Danio rerio: one gene and its partner. The protein of the gene in region 2 interacts with the protein of the main gene of each other region in a biochemical or structural test. Links are inferred from orthologs where the notes say so. Each region holds a gene or a part of one and is shown on either strand. Other genes may lie near its edges. The genes, in order: dkc1 and shq1.

Region 1 (11,345 bases), on a different chromosome or scaffold from region 2:
AAAATTAGATAAGGTATTATAGCTGTATTATACTGTACTATTCACTCTTTAAATAAATCCCACTATCAATCCCATTTTATCACTAAAATAAAGTGAACTAGTGTCTGCTGTACAGTGTTTTGTAAAGTACTTCAATTACTCTGTTGTGGTAATACTATGGTTGCTATGGTAACAAATTGTATTAAAAACAAACTACCCAGTGCTTTAGTTTTTTTTTTTTTACAATATGGGGTATATTTTTCAACAATTCAACACACTTACATGTAGTAAAACTAAACTGTATTTCATTTTATCAGTTCACTATTCTTACTACTACAGTATGCTGAAGCTTCTCTGGAAAAGCACGAAAGGAGTCCGACGGAGCGAGAGCAGATCATTTGCACGTGAGCAGCCAGTGTTTTGAGAGCTCGCAAGCAGTTTTGTCCATGAACAAAGGAAACCGGCGCGTGAGCAGAGATTCACTCTCTCGTTATTCAGCGCTCTCGACTTATAAAACTGCACTTGCGACATTTGTCAGTGAAATAACGGCATACTCTGCCAGCCGAAATCATGTCGCGCGCACTCAAAGTGAACTTCCGCAAACACAGCGATGATGTTACATTTGAGTTTAATATCAGAAAGCTGATTGGCTATTGCAAGTTGACTTTTTTGCAGTTGTAAAACAGAAAATTACAATTGGACTAGTAAAATAAAGTAATAATAGTCATAAAACTACAACAACCCCAAAAACCAAGCAACAACAACAAGAATTTAAATGAGCATTAGATGTAGCGTTACATGGACATCGCAAAAATATGACCTGTGCAAAAATATTTAAGACCAAGAACAACAAATTTAAGATTTTTTAAAGCCATAAATGTCAATTTTTTTAATTTAAGATTTAATACTTTAAGACCCCGCGGGGACCCTGATATAAACATCTACTGTTTGAGCACACTAGCTTATAGATATCCTATACAACGAACAATACTCTTACTAATATCTAGGGGTGCTAAGATCACAACCCACAGTTTAAAAGGCATGATTAATAACGAATAAGAGATCGCCTCTATATAGATCTTACATAAAAACATTTTGGCTTTCGTGTAAAATATAATGACGACAGAAGTTGTGAAGGCACCAAAATGCTTTCTTAAGATTATTAAAGGCATTTTGTGTTGCTACACGTTTAGCCTGCATTAATGCAGTCAGTGTAAACCTGCACAAGTGATCATTAAAAGAAAGATCAGGATCAGGAAGAGTTATGCAGATGTCCACAGAGCTCAGGTGTCCATCGTGCACACATCGTGCAGACAGCATTAGCCTGAGCTCAGGGTTTTGCTTTAGCAGACAGACTCCCTCTAGGCTCACAGCAGAACAAAAAGGGATAACAGTCTGCAGGAATGTGTGCGAACACGGAAACATGCATACCTGTAGTCTACATAGCCCTCTTTCCAGTCTGAAGGTGTGCTGTTGTTTGGTTTGCCATGTTTGTCTAGAAGTCCCTTTTGGATCATCATTTTCTTCTGGCTGGCCTGAAATGCAGGAGTTGCCACATTTAAATAGTACATCATTATTAACATTTACTCTGGGGCGTGTACCATGAAGATGGATTAGCTGGCTAGCCTGTTTAAACACGCACCAATTCTGGATTTTAGGCAGCAGGAACATTTAAATAATTTTGGATTGCCATTGTATATTATGCTGTACTGCTAATATGCTTTAGTTTAGAGACCACAAAGACATTTAAGCTATTGTATTTCAATAGGCTGTCTCTTTCGTATCTCCAGACTCAAACTTTCATATTTTTACGTACTCACTTAAAATAGGCAGGAGGCATCTGAAGCCAAACTAAATTTGTTAAAAAAAAAAAAAAAAAAAAAAAAAAAAAAAAAAAAAAAAAAAGGGATTTATGAGGGTCCTAAAAGCAGAAAATGATTCAGCATTAACTTGATATATCCGACTTAAGAAAAACTCCCACAACAAGACACAGGGAGCCAATAAAATGACTTTCCAGCAGTAACATTTAAATTAATCACACACCACACTGTGCTTAGGATTTGAACTATACGGCAGACTATTAAAAGGGGTGGTTCTTTTCTCAAAATAAATAAAGACCTTTTTGCAGTTATTCACCTCATTTTCTATTAAATTATGAATTTCAAACACTGCTTTAAAGCACTAACCTTTTCTGGATTAGCTTGTTGATTGATTATTATAATCAAACTTTAGTGCAACAAAAATATTTCCTACAAAGTGCTCACCATACTACTATTTAACCATGAAGTGTTTTACAAATGTGCATTTGAAAAATAAAATAATTAGATTTTTAAAATTAAACATTTTAAAATTAAGAAATATGAAACACTAAATGTATTATTCATCATGAAAAAACTAATTAGGAATCTGTTAAAACATGTTTTAATTCAAAAACTACCCTATAGGTAAATAAACAGGTCAGCAAGTCAGAATTTGTCCATTTAAATGTAATTTTATCTATCTTAGGCTGCTTTCACACCTGTGAATCGATTCAGTTGTTCCGAAATAGAGATTACTATTGTTACATTGTTGCTCTTTATTCTTGGCGCGGTTCGCTTTCACACAGCAAAGTTTCTAAACGGACCAAAAGAGCTAAAACAAGTCACGTGTGAGTAAACTCTCCTCACATTGGTCAGTGTCAGGGTTAATTTTGCAGAGTCTCGGTCAGCTGTCAGGAGAGGTGGTGGTTTGGTGGTGTTTAACAAGGTGCGTCCATCTGTAGAGTGAGGAGAGACGGGGTGGGGAGGGGTGAGAATGATGCACGACGTAGCCCATTTGAGGACCGGGAGGAAGACGCAAGATTACCAGGAGATTATCACACGTTTGCGGGCATCTGGAAACTCGCGAAATTTCCCGCCCTATAATTCTCTCTTCATATCGCCGTATGCCTATTACATATCCATAAAACACAGTGATATAACCGCGCTCGGATCGTATCGCTTTCTCACTGCAATGGATCCGCTCCAAAGTTAAGTTTTAATCGAGCCGAGACCACCTCATTCAAACGATTTCGGAGCGATTGATTTGGCACAGATCCTAGCATGATTGCTGGTTTCACATATGCCAAACGAACAGCACTAACTGGGCAAATGAGACAGGTTCCCAAACAAAAGTGGAGGTGTGAAAGCACCCTTAAAACCTACTTCTATCGATTATTTTCACAATTTATTATGGCATACTGTCAAAATCGAGACAAATGAGCTCATTAAGGGGCCAAATTATGGACTTTGTCAGTGGGGGGGTGGATCTTTTGAACCACATACCCCTCTGCTTGGCTACGGGTCTGAAAATACAATAGGTTCTGCCATTAACTAGGCATGGGACGATAACCGTTTTGAAGGGATACCATGGTTTGGGAAAAAAAAAGGTTTTTAAAACAGCCAAAATATATATTTTTTTAATTTACTTTTAGTTTTTAGGACAACAGTATCTCCAGCAGAAAAGATATTCAAAGATGCCGTTTCAAATTGTAAAGAAATCGGTGTTTTAGAAACTAATGAAAAGAGCACAAGTCAATAATTCATTTTCATTATTTGACACGTTTACTGCTACAGAATATTTTAAATTTAATTTTTTTTTAAATATATATTGTTTTTAAAAGGGGGAAAAAAAATGTTGTTGTTTTTTTTTTTAAAGATTATATTTTAGAGCAGTAATAACAATATTGTGATATTTTTGTCCAAGGTTATGATACTGTCAGAATCTTATACCGACCCATGAACACACAATTGTTGTTTTAGATAAAACTGTGACTTTATACTGCCGAGAGATTGGATTTAACTTCATTTGCATTAATAAACCAAAATGACTTCCTTTTAGCAGCTCTTTTTATGAGCGTACAAGCATTTTTAAATTCCACTTACACATTTTGGCTGCGAATTGTTAATTTACTCACAGAAGAAACTAAAAAAAATCTAAATATCTTAATTTCAAGGCATGTGATTGGCTGCTTGCTACTATTGTCCTGCCTTCATCTGCACATGCTCATGAACTCCAGAGTAAACAAAGTGATCAACGTCGTTCTACAACAAAGCCTGATTGCACTAGTTTGGATTACAGGGTTAATTTTGAGTTGATATAACCAGAGTTCAAGCCTACATCATGGCGTCAAATTTCTCTCAATGTTCATTACCTTTGGTCCAAGACCCCATTTGCGTGGATATGTGTCTCTCTCCATGATGACTCTCTTGATTTTAGCGACAACCCCATGGTCACATGTGGATATTACAGCTGTGGTCATCAGAGCAACCGCTGAAGGAGGAAAATAAAACCATTGAAACCCATCCAAATCCTAATACTTCAACTGTAAAGTCTTGCAGAGCCATCAGTCATGGGTGATAGATAAACGGTCATCTTTGCAGCAATGCTAATGCAATCTACATCACATCATGTGGCTGAGAATGGCGCATGCTACAAGTTTCAAAGGATGACATTTACCTGTGCAAATGGCTTCTCCTTTAGTAGTTATAACCACAATGTCTTGATTGACCTCGATGCCATCTTCATACCGAAGGACGCCAGGTAGCATAATCTTAGCGCCATAGCATATAGCGTTCACCTGATGCAAAACAATTAGTTAGGCCAGCCGAATATACTTAAACATTGCATATTGAACAACTCATGCTGCATTACAGCCATCAGTCATGGGTGATAGATAACTGGTCATCTTCGCACAGTGTGCTAATGCAATCTACGTCACATCATGTGGCGTGCAACATGAAGATTGTTAAATATTAATGTAGGGTGTAGGTTTTCGTACAGCGCTGTCCTTCATGACGATCCTCTTGTGGGAGATGAGGAGTTTCTCCAGAGGGAAGATCACTCTCCTCAGGTACGTCTCGTCTTTGTTGTGGTCAAACTGCCACTGGGCGTCCAACACATCATGCATGGTCACCAGGTTATCCTGCAAGAGAAATCAATTACTAGATTTTCCTTGTCAGACCTATTCTGGCTGCTTATATTCAGCAAATGGTATTGCATTACTGCCTGTACAATCCTTTAACATTTGTTCATGTCGGCTGAAGGGTTTAATAAAGGAGGTCAAAGTATAACCCCTTCATGTTGATCACCACTCAGCCATTTTCTGTACCAAAGATTAATTAGCAGAACTGGGGAGAAACCCAGAGCTGAACTCAACGCTTTGGCTCTACAGGTTCTCTTCGTACCTTTTCACCCAAAACACCGGAACGGACTCGTCGCAGCTCCTGCATCTGCCCGCCGACCCCCAGCAGCAGACCCAGATGCACACACAGAGTTCGGATATATGTGCCCGCTTCGCAGCTCACCCAGAAAATACCTGTCGAGTGAGAATATATATAGATATGGATGCAGACAATCTCACACTGGAAATGATCATTACTCTGGATAGCAGCCATCAGTCATGGGTGATAGATAACTGGTCATCTCTGCACAGTGTGCTAATGCAATCTACATCACATCATGTGGCTTCAACATTATTGAAAGGGATAGTTCACCCAAAATTTCACTTTCGTTTCTCTTCAATGCTGTAGGGCTGGGCGATTAAGCAATAATCAACATTCAGAACCTATAAATCTGCAGATAAAATATAAATAATAATAATTCCAGGACCATTTTTTCCAATTACTTGTCACGTGCCATAGCAATATCACCCTGCAGCCCGAGACCGGTTACTCACTGAAGCTAAGCAGGGCTGAGCCTGGTCAGTACCTGGATGGGAGACCACATGAGAAAACTAGAGCTGCGTCCCAAATGGCACACTATGCACTCATACACTTAACCACTCAACAGGATAGGATATGCATGTAGTGTTGTCCCAAATGGAACACTTTTTTTACTAAGCGGAAATTCAAACCGTTTCCCTGATGACGTTTGCCAAATCAGTAAAATAAACGACCGAATTATCAAATAATACCTGCAGTGAGTATAACCGAATTCACCATCAGGAGGCGCTATAATCACTCTCTTAGGAGAATTTTGCTTTCACCATCCAAAATAGTTATTCAACATGTGCGTCCGATAGCTCCGCCCCTTCCGCTACGCAAGCAAACCTGTGGTCGTTGAGTGCATGAAGTGTCCATCGGTCTACACTTCATTTTACCGGCTGAATGAGTGCATCATCCGGGTAATTAAAGTGCACTTATGATTTTTAGAGTTTTCAGTGTGAACACACTACCTACACTAATTATACTACAAAATGGCGTAGAATAGTGCATAAGTATGCAATTTGGGACGCAGCTTAGGTTGCTGTTGGAAGTGGTGTTAGAGGCCAGCAGGGGGAGCTCAACCTGTGGTCTTCGTGAGTCCTAATGCCCCAGTAAAAGTAAAGGGGACACTACACTCTATATAATCTGTATATATCTATCTACCTATCTATTTATTTATCTGCAGATGAAGTGTAAAAAAATATATATATATAAAAGAATTAAATAAATTAAATAAATAAAAGATTGATAGATTGATCTATGCAATAGCCCCTGATCTACTGCACACTGCAAAGCAGCCAAAGTGAAAGCCTGTGCATTGCTGCTGCTCTTCATACATGCCTAAAAGGCGTCATGAAGTCAGCGTGCAGCTTTCTCCTTTCAGATTGGCCAATGCATCTGGGTTTACAACGTAAATGAGGCACATTCTGCACAGTTTTCACTCCACATGATGGTAATCCACCTCTCTTATTTAGTGTGAACCCAGCACAAGTGTTATTATATCTGCCTGCCGGTTCAGTGCCCTAAACATGCACAGCGAGTTTGCGTTTTCATGTGGATGGAGTTTTTATTTGAGTTTTTTTTAATAACAAAAGTGAGGGAAAAGGTTCATAAAAATATGTGTGTGGAGCCTTAGATTTATTCTAAATACTTTTAAGCACCAAAGAAGAATAAAGTTCTTACACATTTGAAGCTATAAAGCTCAGTAATTAAATACAATGTCTATTCCTGGGTGAACTAACCTTTTAAATAAAGTCCATACACAAGACATTAAAAAAATAGTTTACCTAATCTTCTCTCAGGATCATATTCAATAAGCTTGCTCTCGTAGATGGTGCGCACTCGCAGTTGGCGCTTCACAGCAGCGATGAGCGGCGGCCGCTGGAACAGAGCTCCTGTTAAACACTCCAGAGCCTGAGGAGAAGCACAAAACAACCAAAAATCAGTCTCAGATTTCCTGCAGCCTCTGACGGTTAACAGTCCATGTGTATGTGATCAGAAATGTCAGTTCTTCTTTTGTGAAACCGAACCCTAAACCCCCGCATGAGCCTCCAGCAGCCTACGCTACAGTAAAACACTGCAGCGGAGAGCCGGAGGCCAGCAGGAGAGAGGGACGGAGACACTCAGAGAATGGATAAACAGGTTCATCACGCCACATACAGCAACTAATGCACACTAATAACACACAGCTTTTCCCTTGAGGCACTAATTACTTTATTTAAATGAGCACTTGGAGTTTAATAACTTGGGTTCATTGCATGGCTTTATGTATGGCAAGTGTTACTCAGCCACCAATAAACTTCAAGATTTGTCACAATTTTAATTTCATAAGGTTAACAGCATAGATAATGTACTTAAAATATAATCAGGTAAACAGATTCAAGCATTCGTTTGTGTAAAACAAGATGAAGGGCTGTTTAAATGCAGATTTCAGTAAAATCAGGCGAGCAGTGAAACTATTGAAAAAAAAAACTGTGGTAAAATATCTATATTTTACATGAATAATGTAATGTAGTACTTTTGTCTGATATGAGAAACTTATTATCTCAATCGGGCAGTGAAGATAATGGAGTAAAAAAATAGATATGGGTAGCATATGATCAAAATAAATTACTAGGGATGCACGATATATCGGTGGCCATATAGTTATCGGCCGATAAATGCTATTTTTAAGATTGTTACTGATCCGATGTCTAAATTAGGCCGATATCTTTAAGCCGATAAATTATGTAATTGTTTGTCATGAAATCATCTGTGCTCGACGCTCAGGTGTTGGATCAAACTCTGACTGCGCTTCGCGTGCGCGCATCACACAATGCTTGATATTAACAGCATAATCAAACTTTATCGCTCATTTTTCCCGCAATTGATAGCAAGAACGAACATAAAAGCATCGTCTGATTGACCAACAGCATTAAAATGCATTCAAAAGAATCTAAAATGCCAAAAAGGATAAATCTAAGCCGCATTTTTTGAAGTAAATCATACTATCAGTATTTAGGTTTTCGCTTGTACGGTGGCTCAGAACTATCAAAATGCCTCTCAAAACGCATTTTTCGACATTACGTATTTGTACATTACTGCAACACGTTTTATTCAAGAATATTTGAGCTGGTTTTAGCTTTCATTTTCATTTTATTTAAAATATGTTTAAGTTGTTGGTTAATTAAATCACATTATGTCATTTAACCTATTATTTTTATGCAACATTCAAGTTGCATGTCAAGTTGCTATGCAAATTAAAGGAATATATTTTTGGCATGCTAATTTATGTGAGAATATAGGTCTATATGACCTTGAAATTTAGAAATTATTTTTTTGCTTTGAGTTTAGACTACTTAGCTCATAGGAGCTGTTCAGTCTTTTATTAGGATTTTTTTTTTGAATAAAATCAGTTTTTCACTGTATAAATATATATTATTTTGAAATATTTATAATTATCGGCCTTTATATATATATATATATATATATATATATATATATATATATATATATATAGGCCTCCAAATCTGAAAGGTTATCGGTTATAGATATCGGCCAAATAATCCATATCGGTGCATCCCTATAAATTACATAAACAATCTGAATGTAGCCCATGTGTCAAAGTTATAAAAATTAGCAGATAAAAAAGCCAGACCAGAGTATACAGCTGCTCGACTGCTCAACTAAAATATCAAGTGTTTAAAGCAGAACACACTCCTACTTACCCTCGCTAGCTGGTGTTCGTTCTCTAGTGCATTGTGCAGCCGTACTATGCCCACATACTCTTTGCCTGAAAGTAACGGCACAAGAGTAGTAAGGAGAGGCCACTAGTTTTAATGTAACTGTGCTGGTATTTACTGTAAAGAAGCTGGGTATGCTGCGGTGATCATACTGTACCTGCGCTCTGCTGGGATTTGACCAGTCGTGTGGCTCGCTCCACACACACGATCAGGCAGCCCGTGACTTTGGGGTCCAGAGTGCCACTGTGACCCGTTTTTTCCACACGAAGGATTCTCTTGATCCAGGCCACGACTTCATGGGAGGATGGGTTTGCGGGTTTGTCCAGATTAATGAAACCAGACCTGGGAGGATGGATGATAGAAATACTTGTCAGAGCTGTTTTGCAAATCTACAACACGCTTGTGTTTTCTGAGAAGCCATCAGTCTTGGGTGATAGATAGCGAGTCATCTTTGCACAGAGTGCTAATGCAATCTACATCACATCATGTGGCTTCATGCAAAGGCCTCGATATACCAAAGTTGAAGAGCTGTGATGAAACTGTATTCAAGAACTTTATTCTGCATCAAATTCGAGAGTTTTATGATTAAAATCACCATTTGTGACGATTCTTAGCCTGGCATTTAACAGATGAGGCTCTAGGGTAAAGTTAAACAGCAGGGTAGAGTTTAACATGGCGCTCTAGGCTAGCAGTAATTGGAGCTCAAGGGTAGCGTTCAATGGCAGACGGCACTCTGGACTATTGTTTAACGGCTGACAACTTTCTAGGCTGGCGTCGGACAGCGCTCTAGGCTAGCGTCGGACAGCAGACGGCGCTCTTGGCTAGCGTCGGACAGCAGACGGCGCTCTTGGCTAGCGTCGGACAGCAGACGGCGCTCTAGGCTAGCGTCGGACAGCAGACGGCGCTCTAGGCTAGCGTCGGACAGCAGACGGCGCTCTAGGCTAGCGTCGGACAGCAGACGGCGCTCTAGGCTAGCGTCGGACAGCAGACGGCGCTCTAGGCTAGCGTCGGACAGCAGACGGCGCTCTAGGCTTGCGTCGGACAGCAGACGGCGCTCTAGGCTAGCGTCGGACAGCAGACGCTGTATCTAGAGTTTAGTCAATTGAGCCAATTGTTTAACAAATAGCTCTAGGCTAGTATTTAACAGTGGACGGCACACTCTAGGCTAGAGATTAACAGGCAGACGCACTGTAGGGTAGCATTTAACAGGCGGAGGGTGCTCTAGGCTAACATTTAACAGGCGGATGGCGCTCTAGGCTAGCGTTTAACAGGCAGACGGCGCTCTAGGCTAGCGTTTAACTGGCGGACTGCGCTCTAGGCTAACATTTAACAGGCGGATGGCGCTCTAGGCTAGCGTTTAACAGGCAGATGGCGCTCTAGGCTAGAGCTTAACAGCAGGCACTGCTCTAGGCTAGCGTTTAACAGGCAGGCAGCACTCTAGGCTAGCGTTTAACAAGCAGATGGTGCTCTAGGCTAGCGTTCAACGGCATACAGCGCTCTAGGCTAGCAATTAACAGGCAGACAGCACTCTAGGCTTACGTTAACCAGCAGACGGCATGCTCTAGGCCAGAGTCGACCAGCAAACAGCATGCTTTGGGCCAGCGTTTACTAGCAGATTGCACACTCTAAGCTAGCGTTTACCAGAGACAGCATGCTCTAAGCCAGCATTTAGTCGATTCTGAGCTTGGAGTTCAACAGAAGGTGCTCTAGATTAGCGTTTACCAGTAGACGGCGCACTCTAAGCTAGAGTTCAACAGCAGATTCATCTGATTCAATGTCCTATGCTAAGCTAAAACATTCGTTTAACTCTAGGGGAGCTGTGAAATTAGCCTATTTTCAAATAAGGTGGAGTTTTTCCTTTTCTTTTAAGAGACGATTACGTTAATCCAAGACTTCATACCTGACATAATCGTGTATGCCCCTCTTGAGAGGATTGGAACCGTGTGGTAGAGGTGTATAATGAGCCGTCCTGATGTTCAGCTTATCAAAGTTCTGCAGACAGACATGTATATAGGTCAATAAAAACACTAAAAGCGACATTAAACGTTTAACCCAAGTATGTGCATGTTGTCAGTCATGTATAATCATCTTGGCCAGAGCCGGTCTGATCCTCCGCACCAGCACATCAGACTCCACAGCAACTGAACCAATAAAACATTGACCCAGCAGTGCAGAATCAGACGGCTGAAACCCTGCGGCCCAGAACAGACTGCAGGGCCGCTTAGAGACAGAACCAGCAGCGCTCGGCGAATGGATAAACAAGTTCATCACGTCACACACCACAGACAAAGTGAGAGGACTTGTGGGTAAACAGAAACTGACCTTAAGCAATAACGGCCATTGAGATGTGTCCAAGCTGGCAACCTTAGACTCAGGTTTAATGAGGAAGTCTCCGCTTTCTTGAATGTCCTGATGGCAAAGG
Region 2 (11,916 bases):
TTTTTTTAACAAGCATTTCAAATGTTAAAATTAATAATAATAATAATAATAATAATAATAATAATAATAACAATAAGCACTGTGGGGCGAAGCAATGGCACAGTAGGTAGTGCTGTCGCCTCACAGCAAGAAGATTGCTGGGTCGCTGGTTCGAGCCTCGGCTCAGTTGGCGTTTCTGTGTGGAGTTTGCATGTTCTCCCTGCGTTCGTGTGGGTTTCCTCCGCATGCTCCGGTTTCCCCCACAGTCCAAAGACATGTGGTATAGGTGAATTGGGTAGGCTAAATTTTCCGTAGTGTACGAGTGTGTGTATGTGTGTGTGGATGTTCCCAGAGATGGGTTGCTGTTGGAAGGGCATCCACTGCGTAAAAACTTGCAGGATAAGGTGGCGGTTCATTCCGCATCGGCGACCCCGGATTAATAAAGGGACTAAGCCGACAAGAAAATGAATGAATGAATGAATGATAGCCACTGTGTGCTGTTGGGGATGTTTTCATCTACTCTGAGGTGATTTTGAGTTTTAATTTGGCCACAACTTTCTGCAAATGGAATGTTTTTTTAGTGACCACTCTTAATTTGACACTAGGGATGCAACGATTATCTGATTTCACTATTAACCGCACTTTAATTCGTCATGGTTAATTAATCATAAAGGCTTCTCAACACCGCACGTCAGCATGGAACAAAACTGCTGCAACTAAACAAAGCTTATACAGCGAGGCTAATATGTACGTACATTGGATTAACAATGGCTGATGCGATTAACTACGGGCCGCTCACATATTGTATCGTTTGCATGCACAAGTTTGTTATTACAAATAGAAGCACATATTGGGGGCGATGCGTTCACACTTCCCAAGTGCACCTATCTGAAAGAATGTTGCGAACGCACAGTGAGTCACGTGACAAGAACTGACCAATTATCTTCTTGCTTTTTATAGAATATACACATTTCTTCCCCAAACAGAGAATACAAAATGAAAATACTAAAAAAGTTTGTAATATAGTTGATCAAAAGTCCTTTTCAGACAGAGATTCAGCAGCTTTTGAGTGTGTTTGTTGTCTTTAAAAGGGAAATACTTAAGCTAATATGATGCTTAGATTTACATTAGACAAATGCAATTTTTTAAATTTATTCTTATTTAAATGTATTATTTGTATTCATTGTTCTGTCATTTATTTTCAGTGTAAAATGTTTCCACTTATTTTAAGTCCAAAGAGAAATAGACTATTGTTTGTTTTTATTAATACTTTGTGCTGTATTATTCAGTTACTGAGCAGCAATAAATTACACTTTAAAGTATAAGGAGTTATCATCTGATTTTCTAAACTAGTAGTGTTTTAAAATTAATGAATGCATAACAATCATGATAACTATGAATATTCCTCCGACTATAATCGCAAAACCAAAATCTACAATCGTTGCATCCCTATTTGACAAATATTTTGGGAAAATGTTTTGGAATTTTTCGAAATCTTAACAATACACTGGGAAAATGTACTACCGTTTCATTATGCTCGAGGGTGTTTTTGCCCCATTGACTTACATTATAACAACCTTTATTGATTGCAAAGCCATGACACCAAAAAATCACGCATTATTGATTATTGGTTGTTTTCCTTATTGGAATGAGGTAAAATTTGCGCTTTGTACTGTTGATCATTAGTTACAGAGCAAAAAAAAGTTTAGTTACTGGCTTTTATATGAAGTATAGTGTGTGTATGTGTGTTAATAAAAAATAGCAAAGGCGACATAATGACTCAGTGGTTAGCACTGTCGCTTCAAGAAGGTCACTGATTCGAGTTCCAGCTGGCATTTCTGTGGCGTTTGCATGTTGTCCTCGAGTTTGCGTGGGTTTCCACCACAGTCTAAAGACATGTGCTATAAATGAATTAAATCAACTAAATTGGCCGTAGTGTACGAGTGTGTGTGAATGAGTGTATACGGGTGTTTCCTAGTACTGGGCTGCGGCTGGAAGGGCATCCACTGTATAAAACGTATACTGGAATAGTTGGCAGTTCATTCTGCTGTGGTGACCTCTGAAATTGAAACTGAAATGAATGATTGAAAAATAATCAGCTCAGCTCTCATTACATAGTAAGCATAGCAAGTGTATTAATGCAGTCACACTGTAATTTGCTGTTTTGCTCCATAGAACTCCATATAAAAGCCAGAACCTTTTCTAAAGGGGTCATGGTGCCAGCTGATGATCAACAGAAAAAATTAAACATTTGATCTCTTCTCAACAGGGAAAACCACCAACAGTCAAGAATGTATGATCATTTGGTGTCATGGCTTTGCAATAAAAAAGTGGTTATAATAGAAGTCAATGGGGCAAAAACAGCCACGAACATAACGACAGGTACTAGTCATTTTGAACAATACACAAGGGATAATAAAATAATAATAAACGACCCTTGTTTTGAAAAGGCGTTATTGAAATGAATGACCAAATTTTATCAAAGAAATTACCATTGGATCCTAAGATTTTTATTCCGGGTATATAGGCTGTCAGCCCTCTCCTATAAAGCAAAGAAGTCAGATTCATAGCAATGTGTATTTTACAGGCTAAATGTATTTTTGCTCTTAATTGGAAAAATATAAATGAACCTAGAATTGGAAAGTGGATTAATGAAATGGTGCCACATATGTCAATGGAAAGGATCACATGTATTGTCAAAAGAAACAAAATGTGTTTGAAGATATTTGGAGACCTTTTATTAACCTTCTAAAGTACAATGTAAATGTTGGCAGTCTACTACAACAAGAACAAGCTCTGAGGGAGTAGGAGAGTTTCATGGTCCAAACTCGAGAAATACTCTTTACCTGATTTAAACATGATTTTTTTGGGAATGGGTTGATGAGAGAGAGAGAATAGGGTGAGAAATGTTTGCTGTGTCTACATGATTGATATTCTGTAACTGTGTAATCTGTTGTGATATGCAAACTGAAAAAGTAATAAATATATCTTGTACAAAAAATACCCTTGTTTTACAAGTTATCTTTCAATGGTCTTAAAAATTGTTCCCATTATTTGCCAAAAGTTAGTGCTTTTCTCTAATTTTCACTTGTTAACACCTTTTAGAGGAAGATAAGACAGGAAATTATGAAAAGGAATATGATTCAATACATGTCTTTGATGTTTTTTTACTAGCGCAAAGTAGGAATTAATGGAAATTGCTAAATTATGGGGACGAAAAAAGCTGAGTTTCTATTGCACACATTACTGTGCTTGATACAACCTTGCAATAAAAAAAAACTCAAATTTTAGACCCTACTGGGAGATTAAAACAGTGTAATGTTAAAATGACAGTAATTGCGTTGACTGTAGTCCTTCCAGATTTGTGAAAGATTTATAATTACTCGTTACTCAGTGTAAACACTGAAAGCAATTAGACGTTTTTTATGATAGACTACTGCTAAATTATTCACTGGCTGTCGATCAAAGAGGACAAGCTGAAAAGAGGCCAAGGAGATGTCAGAAACAGGATCCCATGGCCATTATTTAGCAACTGGAAATGCTAATGCTATTAGGAGAGCAGGCTGACAGCTTGAATTTGATGTAGAAACTGTAAAATAATAACAAATGAGCTGACTGGCTGCAATCTTTCAAACCAAAAAGAAATGTAGAAATGCTACTGTTGTTGCATAGCATCATTTATTTTTAATGAGTCTTTGGTCAAGAATGCAGCTCAAATACACAGTTAAAATATAAAGACAAAAGCTTTCTGAACATTTGCCTCCACAATTTTAGAGGCTTGAGCTTAAACTGTCAACCTAAGATTTTAATCAAAAGTAATAGAAAGGAATTTCTCACACACAATATTTTTAAAGGGATAAAGCACCCAAAAATGAAAATGTACTCATCATTTACCCACCCTCAAAAGGTTTTATGTGTTTTTCTTTTTCTGTTGAACACGAAAGAAAAATTCTGGAAACTAAAAAAAACAAATACCATGCAAGTCAATAGTTAAATGTTTTTTGACATTTTTCAAAATAACTTCTTTTAAATACAACAGAAAAAAAACTCAGAACAGGTTAGAGATAAGTGAAAGTCGAGTAAATGATCACAGAGTTTTCAGTTTTGGGGGAACTATCCATTTAAGACCATTTTAATTTACACACTTGTGCTGTCAGACTGTGCAGTATTGCTCTATTTCAGCGTGGCTGTAATTGGAATCACAGTCATGCTAATACTGAACATTTCTTTGTGCAATATTGATTATATATTACACTAATCACCAAGCTATTAATTAATTCCACAAGAACTGTAAGAAAAGGTAAGCTTTACCTTTTATCGTCTGGTAGGGTTTACTTTTTTAAGAACATCCATTTTATTTCGTCCCACATTGTTGTTGTTGTTTTTTTAGATATATACAGCTTACTCAAAAGTTTACATAACCCGTTCGAAAACAACTGTATATATTTTTTTAGAAAGTGAATAATTTTACCAAAATGTGCATTGTTTTTAAATTTAGCGCTGTCCTGAGTAACATATTGTACATGAAACAAAATTACCTATAGCTCACTACACAAGAATTTTGCAGAAACAAAATGTTAATAACCCCTAGCAAAACTGTACATATCCTTGCTTTTTAATACGGTGTGTGGTTTCCTGATGATCTATGAGTGCTTTTTTTGCTTTGTGATGTTGTTCACAAGTGTCTTGTTTGTTCTGAACAGTTAAACCAACTGCATCTTCAGCACATTCTTCAGTTTTCCAGTGAACTGGATGTAAACTTCTTTTAAGTAAAATATCCTACTCAGAACGGTACTAAACAGAAATAACATCCATTTGTTCAATCCATTTTGTATCATCTCAGATTTTATTAAAACTTTTCACATTTTAACAAATACTTCAAGTGGTGTGTAAACTTTTGAGCACAACTTTATAACTACAATGAGAAAAACTGGTTCAATTAATAATAACTGCTTCTAAAATAGCTTAGTAATAGGTTGAGTAAAGCTAGAGAAGAACATTTGAAGAAACGGATTTCTACAACAATTTTGCTGCTTCCGCTGAAGCTTGCTTATGTGTTTTTTTTTTTTTTTTGGTCAAGAAACTGTCAAGTGTCTGTGCTCAAAGGTATTGAAGAGCAAATAAAAACAGTTTTCAGTTGCTTTCCGAGAGACCCGCAGGAAAAACAGTAACAAAAAGTGATTGTTACCTTTATCGATATCGAATGAAGCTTTTTCCCGTCCATCTTCAACTATTCTCCCAGGCAGAGTCAACCTTCAGAGCAAGTATTAACAATAACAATATATTAACATTTGCACTACAACATGTTTATGCATTTATTTGCAATTTGCATTCTAAAACTAAAAGTCAAATTCATAAATGTCCCTGTTTTACATGAACAAACATAAAACCAAGCCGCTTCTAAAAACAAATGATCCTATGCAATGATCCTTCTCTCTAGTAGACTCTAGTGAAAGGCTTTGATTCACTTTAAATGGTAACCAGTGTATTTACGACCAATCTCAGAATGTTCCAAATTGAGTAGTTTCTGCAATAATTTTCAAAGGAGTTTATTATTCATTTTAATTGTGGATAAGCCGTTTAAATGCTTTTTTAGGGCTCTGTCCTAGCAAGTAAAAATCTTTGTAAATGCTTTTTCCTGTAACAAAATGTCAATCAACGCATTTGCAGAGTCACCTGAGAAAGTAGGGCTTGGCATAGAACTTAAATTCCTCCTCTTGGATGTAGATGTCGAAATCTGATGTTCTGGTGTAGGGTACACGAATAACTACAATGAGGAAATCTGCATCTTGACTGAGTTCAAATGCCGGCGTTATCATGATTATACACTGTGAAGTACTGCAACAACAAGACAGAAAAAAACAAACAATTAGTGATTATTATTCAAAAATGGACAAAAGTAATCCTAAAGAATTTTTTTTAATTACATTTTCAAATTATTTCCTATGCCAAGTTATAATATAATATAACATAATTAGTGCTGTGCAAAAATTAATTGCAACTAATCGCATCCAAAATAATAGTTTGATATAGTTTGAGTGTATGTACTGTGTATATTTATTATTTTTATGTAAATACACAGGCATGTATATATTTGAGAAAATGCTTATTTATATTTAGATATAAAAAATATTTGTATATGATACAAATTATATATAAACATTTAAGTATCTGCAACAAAATAGATTTGTATAGTTTTGTTTCTATGCATGTATCAAAACAAACTTTTATTTTGGATGCGATTAATTAGGATTCATTTTTGCACAACACTAAACATTATATAATATAATGCTACTACACAATAAACTCAATTAAAATTAAATCGAAAAAGAATATTTAAAAAACTAATAATAATATAATATAATAAAATAATTTTATTCATTTTCTTTTCGGCTTAGTCCCTTTATTAATGCGGGGTCGCCACAGCAGAATGAATCACCAATTTATCCAGCACGTTTTATGCAGCGGATGCCCTTCCAGCTGCAACCCATCACTGGAAAACATATATAAAGACTCATTCACACACATACACAATGGACAATTTACTCTATTCACCTATACCACATGTCTTTGGACTTGTGGGGGAAATCGGAGCACCCAGAGGAAACCCACATGGAACACAGGGAGAACATGCAAATTGCAAACTCAACAAAACTGACTGGGCTAAGACTCGAACCAGCGACCTTCTTGCTGTAAGGCGATTGTGCTAGCCACTGCACCACCACGTAGCCAAAATAAAATCAATATTTCACAAAATTTTAAAGAATCAATTAATATCTTCTTTTATGTGTTAGTATTGTATCTCTAAATAGGAAACTACAACAATAATCAAACATCTGACATTACATCAGTTACATCATTACATCATCATTGGCTTTTATATTCACACATTCAGACTTTCTCGTTAATAATATAATTTCATAAAAGTTTTCTTTGCTAATTCTAAATATTGAATCATATTAGCAGCTAATGACTATCAAAATACAACAATGTTCACAGTCAACTGAATAGTGTTGATGTTGTTTTGAAGTCATACTAGCATGTCATTTCAGACCGAATATTCAAAGTACCATGGTAAACAAAATAGGGAGGATTTCACAAGTTGTCACTGAACAAATGTGCGAATATAAAACCAACATAACTCAATCAAATAATCAACTCAAACTCAAAAAATCAACTAGCCATGGTCCATCTGACAAAAAGTCAACATGTGAGGAGTAAAAGAAAAGAAAAGGGCAGCTTACAACTCCACCTTGTGGTTACTCCATTAGTTCTCAATAAGAAATATTGTAAACAACCCCTTTGCCAACTAGTATTTTAGACACAGTTAGCTTTACATTAACATTATCATATTCAATACAACTCTATTAAACAGTCAATAAGCATTTTTAAAAGGACAAAATACCAAAATAAAGGAAAACCACGCAACAAGAAGATAAAAGTCGCTATATTGATTTAATACGTGCTCACAGCCAAAACCACAGCCAAATCAGTCAATTAAATGATGAAAGATGATAAATCCCAATACAGACAAGAAGATGCCAAAACCTATGTCTACCTTTTTGTTTATTCAATGTTTATGCCAACGTAAAACAGGCAAGACAAGACACACTAAATGCAGTATTTAAGTTATTACGTTATTCATTAATATAATGCGATATAAAAGACACAAATTACAACAACATAAAACAAAACGTTTCATACCTTCACGCGTTTTCTGTGAACAGTTAAATGCGCTAAACAACATCAGTAACACATATGCAGCACATGGATTGTCTGCTTCCTGCTTTCTCTGATGGCCATGTTTTACCGTAATGCCACATATAAAGGCGGCATAAAATAATACGCGATATTTTTCAAAAAAATACAACACCGTGAAGGTTTGAGGATTTTGATGATTATAGAGACTGTAAATCAAATCCCCCAAAAACTCAGAATCATAAAAGTGGAATATTAAAAAGATCTAAAGATTTTAGCCTTAAGGGAATGTTCACCCCAAAATGAAAATTCAATTACTATTTACTCACCTGCATGTGGTTCTAAACTTTTATAAATGTATTTGGATGATGTGATGGTAGCCCCCGGACAATTACACCAGTGCGGTCACCACACACCAACTATAAGAGGAGTAAAGAGACAGTGATAGAGCCAACTCAGTAGATGGAGATGATTGGGAGGCCATGTTGGGTAAGGGCCAGTGGAGAGAATCTGGATGTAGGTTACACCCCTACTCTTTAAAAGAAGTGCTATGGGATTTTTAATGATCACAGAGAGTCAGGACCTTGGTTTTACGTCTCATCCGAAAGACGACGCTCATTGACAGTAAACTGTCCCCTTCACAACTAAAAAAAAAGCAGGATGAGGGAAGTAAATCATAACAGAATATTCATTTATTATGAACTATCCCTTTAAAGGGTCAAAAATACATTTAGGGCTACAGGAAAACTATATAAACATTAATACATTTTTTAAAATAACCCCATATTGGTTAAAAAAACTCAGGTCATCCAATATGTTAGTTATTTTACTTTATTTGTCCCTGTATGCTGCAAAATAAATTTTACAAGCAGGCTACAGTAAATAAACAAAAAGTTGAATATAGATGTAAATAAAACTAAAAAGACAATTATACACTAAAAAATGCCATTTTAAATTAATTTCTGATTTGCAAGGTTTTATAAGACACAATAAAAGGCATATTTTTGTTAAAGATTACTTATCATACTTGCGACTTGTAACATTAGTCAGTTTGTTAGAAGGGATATTTTTTTACTTATTATTATTATTAATTCATTAATTAATGGTGAATTTTTTTTCGTCTGTATGCAGTTATTCTCTGATATTATGGTTAAGTGTACTTCATTTGGTATTTATTTTATTTATTTATTATATTGTCGCTGGTTCGAACCCAGGCTGGGTCAGTTGGTATTTTCTGCGTGGAGTTTACATGTTCTGTGTAAAACATATGCTGGATGGGTTGGCAGTTCATTCCGCTGTGGTGACCCCAGATTAATAAAGGGACTAAGCCAAACAGAAAATGAATGAATGAATGAATGAATTTCAAACTAACTCCACATGGATGACCTAAGTTTTTTAACTATCCCTTTAAATATATTGCAATGCAGTTTAAAATCTAATTTAAAAAAGCATAAAAAACGGCACTACAGTAAATAAGCAGAAATAGGAGGAATAAGATGAATATAGATATAAACAAAACAAACAAAAAAAGACAATTATACATTAAGAAATGCAATTTAAAAAAAAAATTCTGGTTTTGCAAGGTTTGATGAGATACAGTAAATGCATATTATAATTAAAGTTTACACCGCATACTAACAACTTGTAACATTAGTCATTTTGTTGGAAGGAAGTTTTGTTTTTACTTAGGCTATTATTATTAATTAATTCATTCCTTTTTTTCCATCTGTATGCAGTTATTCTCTGATATTATTGTTAAGTGTTAATGTACTTCATTTGGTATTTATGCATTTTTATATTTATTTTTCTTGTTTTGTTAATTGGGTTAATGAATGAGGGGTTAGGGGATGTGATTAACAGTGGACAATAACTTACTGTTTACCTCACAATAATTAATTTTGTCACACAAAAGACTAATAAAAAGATTAAAAATAAAATAAAGATAACATCACAATGAATAACATTATAGTCATAATATAAAAAAAAATATCCTCCTGACAGCAAAATAATATACTTAATAACTGTAACAAAGCAGTTTTAATAAGATATACCATTTGTTTGGCTCAGTGGTTAGCACTGTTGCCTCACAGCAAGAAGGTCGCTGGTTTGAGTCTCGGCTGGGTCATTTGGCACTTCTGTGTGGAGTTTGCATGTTCTCCCCACATTGGTTTCTTTTGGGTGCTCCAATTTCCCCCCATGCAATATGGGTGAACTGAATAAACTGAATTGACTGTAGTGTATGAGTGTGAATGTTAGTGTATGGGTGTTTCTCAGTATTGGGTTGCAGCTGGAAGGGCATCCATTGCGTAAAACATATGCTGGAATAGTTGGAGGTTCATTCCGCTGTGGTGACCCCTGATGAATAAAGGAACTAAGCCAAAAGAAAATGAATGAATGGATATACCATTTATTTTGTACTTTCATTGCGCTGGAGTGCATTACAAGTATTACGGTAAGGAGAGTAAGGTCCGCCTTCAGAGATTCATTTACGTGAGAGAGATCGGCGCTAAGCTGAGCAGCATCGTCTTCATCATCACACACAGTACAAATGAAGAAGTATGGCTGCACACTACAAATATGTCCCCTTGTTTTAACCAGAGCCATGGTTAAAACACCCCACCGCGGACGGAGCACTTTTTCACCATGAGGATTCACTGCAAGGTTGTGGCCATCGCGGTGTGCTTCGGAGTTTTTCTACTTTTGTACTTTTTCGGGGGGAACGCTGCGGACGAGCCGCCGCTGAAAGAAGTTGCGAAAGAAAAACATTTTCCATCATTCGGTAATTTCGAGGACATTGTCCTTCTGAAAGGTGCGAAACAAACCAACGAGGAGCCACAGAAACCACCGAAACTAATCCGCAAAGAGCCCAAGTTGAGCAGCAGGAGAGCAGAGAATGTCATCGCGAAGACTCGGTAAGACATTCTTCAAGTGCAAAAATCATGATCAACAATATGTATGATCCAACAACAGAATGTGTGCAAGTGTGTTTTATTATGTCTGATATCAGTTTTTCATAATACATCACATAATGTAAAACAATGCATTTTTCTTCCTTCTCGAGTTAACATCCTTTCAACTGCTTTAAAATCAGTGCATGTGTTTGATCCACAAGGGAATTTATGACTTGGATTTGCATAAAATTTTCTGTGATTTGTACATAACAACACGTTTTATTAACAATTAATAAACCACTGATCTTTTTCTGGATGTCAACACAGCCAATCCAACCAGACATACTTGTCAAAAAGCCTGCTGTGACAAAGGACATTTTGGCAAGAATGTCTTGAGCTGATTGTGCAATCTTTAGATTTCTTAATACAGCAAGACAGATAATCGTGCATGGCATCATTTCTGCACTATCCACACCAGATTGTGATGCACTAACGTCTTAAATGTTGCCAGAGAGCAGTGTGCTTTGTGCATGCTACAAAGCCCAGTCCAAGAGCCCCCTGTGAGCATCTCATCCATGATTATCTCAATTGTATTTTCATTATGGCTTTATTAAAAAGGTCACCTTGAATGCAGTTGCCTCGTTCCCAAAGGGTCTCAATAGAGGACAAAATCAATGATTGGTTGTGAGTAAAAGCAAACAGTCCCTAGAGACCGGAAGATGGAGTGGTTTATTTATTAAGACCGTCCGCCCTTCTTGAAACATAATTAAAAAGAGTTTCTCCCACATTTAGCCTATAGGTGAACAGTATTTTAATGTTAAAATATAAGAACCCCAATGTTCAGTTCAATCCAAGTTGTGCTTTTCACAATAATTATCATACCAATGTTGCTTAAAAGGTGCATGTTAATACATTACAATCCATTCAGACAGATTTCAGACGTTGTGTATAGGGTGGACCGTATATATACATATACACACATGGTAACCTGCAGTTATACAATAATATAGATTAACCAAGGCTGACCGACATGACAAAAATCTCATATCATGATATAAGTCATCTCATATCCTGCCTGATACCAAAATATACATATATTCATCAGTTATTAGTTTAAATATATTAACCACATGGAAAGAACTATTTTTTCTTACAATGTAAAGTATATACAATACTCATATTTGTACTCATTCATATGTGTTTTTTTTTTACATTATTTATAACTAGGGCTGCACGATTTTGAAAAATGACATTGCAATGTTTTGTTTTTCTGCGATAAATATTGTGATTAGGTATGGGCCGCTTTAAGATTTTAACGGTATGATAACCTTCGATAAAATATCAGGGT

The links.
Region 1: the proteins of shq1 (region 2) and dkc1 are reported together in a solved structure, tested with the Homo sapiens proteins (2 studies listed by BioGRID, with this or other methods). The link is inferred for Danio rerio from reciprocal best matches to the Homo sapiens genes SHQ1 and DKC1.

Annotation. Positions count from the first base shown.
Region 1 is NC_133196.1:47,452,251-47,463,595, reverse strand, and holds part of dkc1 (H/ACA ribonucleoprotein complex subunit DKC1), read right to left. Parts: intron 11,333-11,345; coding exon 11,246-11,332; intron 10,916-11,245; coding exon 10,824-10,915; intron 9,416-10,823; exon of another isoform or gene 9,339-9,415; intron 9,266-9,338; coding exon 9,081-9,265; intron 8,974-9,080; coding exon 8,909-8,973; intron 7,116-8,908; coding exon 6,989-7,115; intron 5,465-6,988; exon of another isoform or gene 5,388-5,464; intron 5,315-5,387; coding exon 5,184-5,314; intron 5,165-5,183; exon of another isoform or gene 5,028-5,164; intron 4,922-5,027; coding exon 4,778-4,921; intron 4,728-4,777; exon of another isoform or gene 4,651-4,727; intron 4,577-4,650; coding exon 4,456-4,576; intron 4,414-4,455; exon of another isoform or gene 4,338-4,413; intron 4,270-4,337; coding exon 4,151-4,269; intron 1,889-4,150; exon of another isoform or gene 1,515-1,888; coding exon 1,411-1,514; exon of another isoform or gene 1-1,410.
Region 2 is NC_133181.1:46,676,228-46,688,143, forward strand, and holds the start of shq1 (protein SHQ1 homolog), read right to left. Parts: upstream 7,777-11,916; 5' UTR 7,684-7,776; intron 5,818-7,683; 5' UTR 5,799-5,817; coding exon 5,656-5,798; intron 5,233-5,655; coding exon 5,168-5,232; intron 1-5,167. Other genes in the region: gxylt2 (glucoside xylosyltransferase 2 precursor), read left to right, coding at 10,321-10,589. UniProt on the Homo sapiens protein: Required for the quantitative accumulation of H/ACA ribonucleoproteins (RNPs), including telomerase, probably through the stabilization of DKC1, from the time of its synthesis until its association with NOP10, NHP2, and NAF1 at the nascent H/ACA RNA.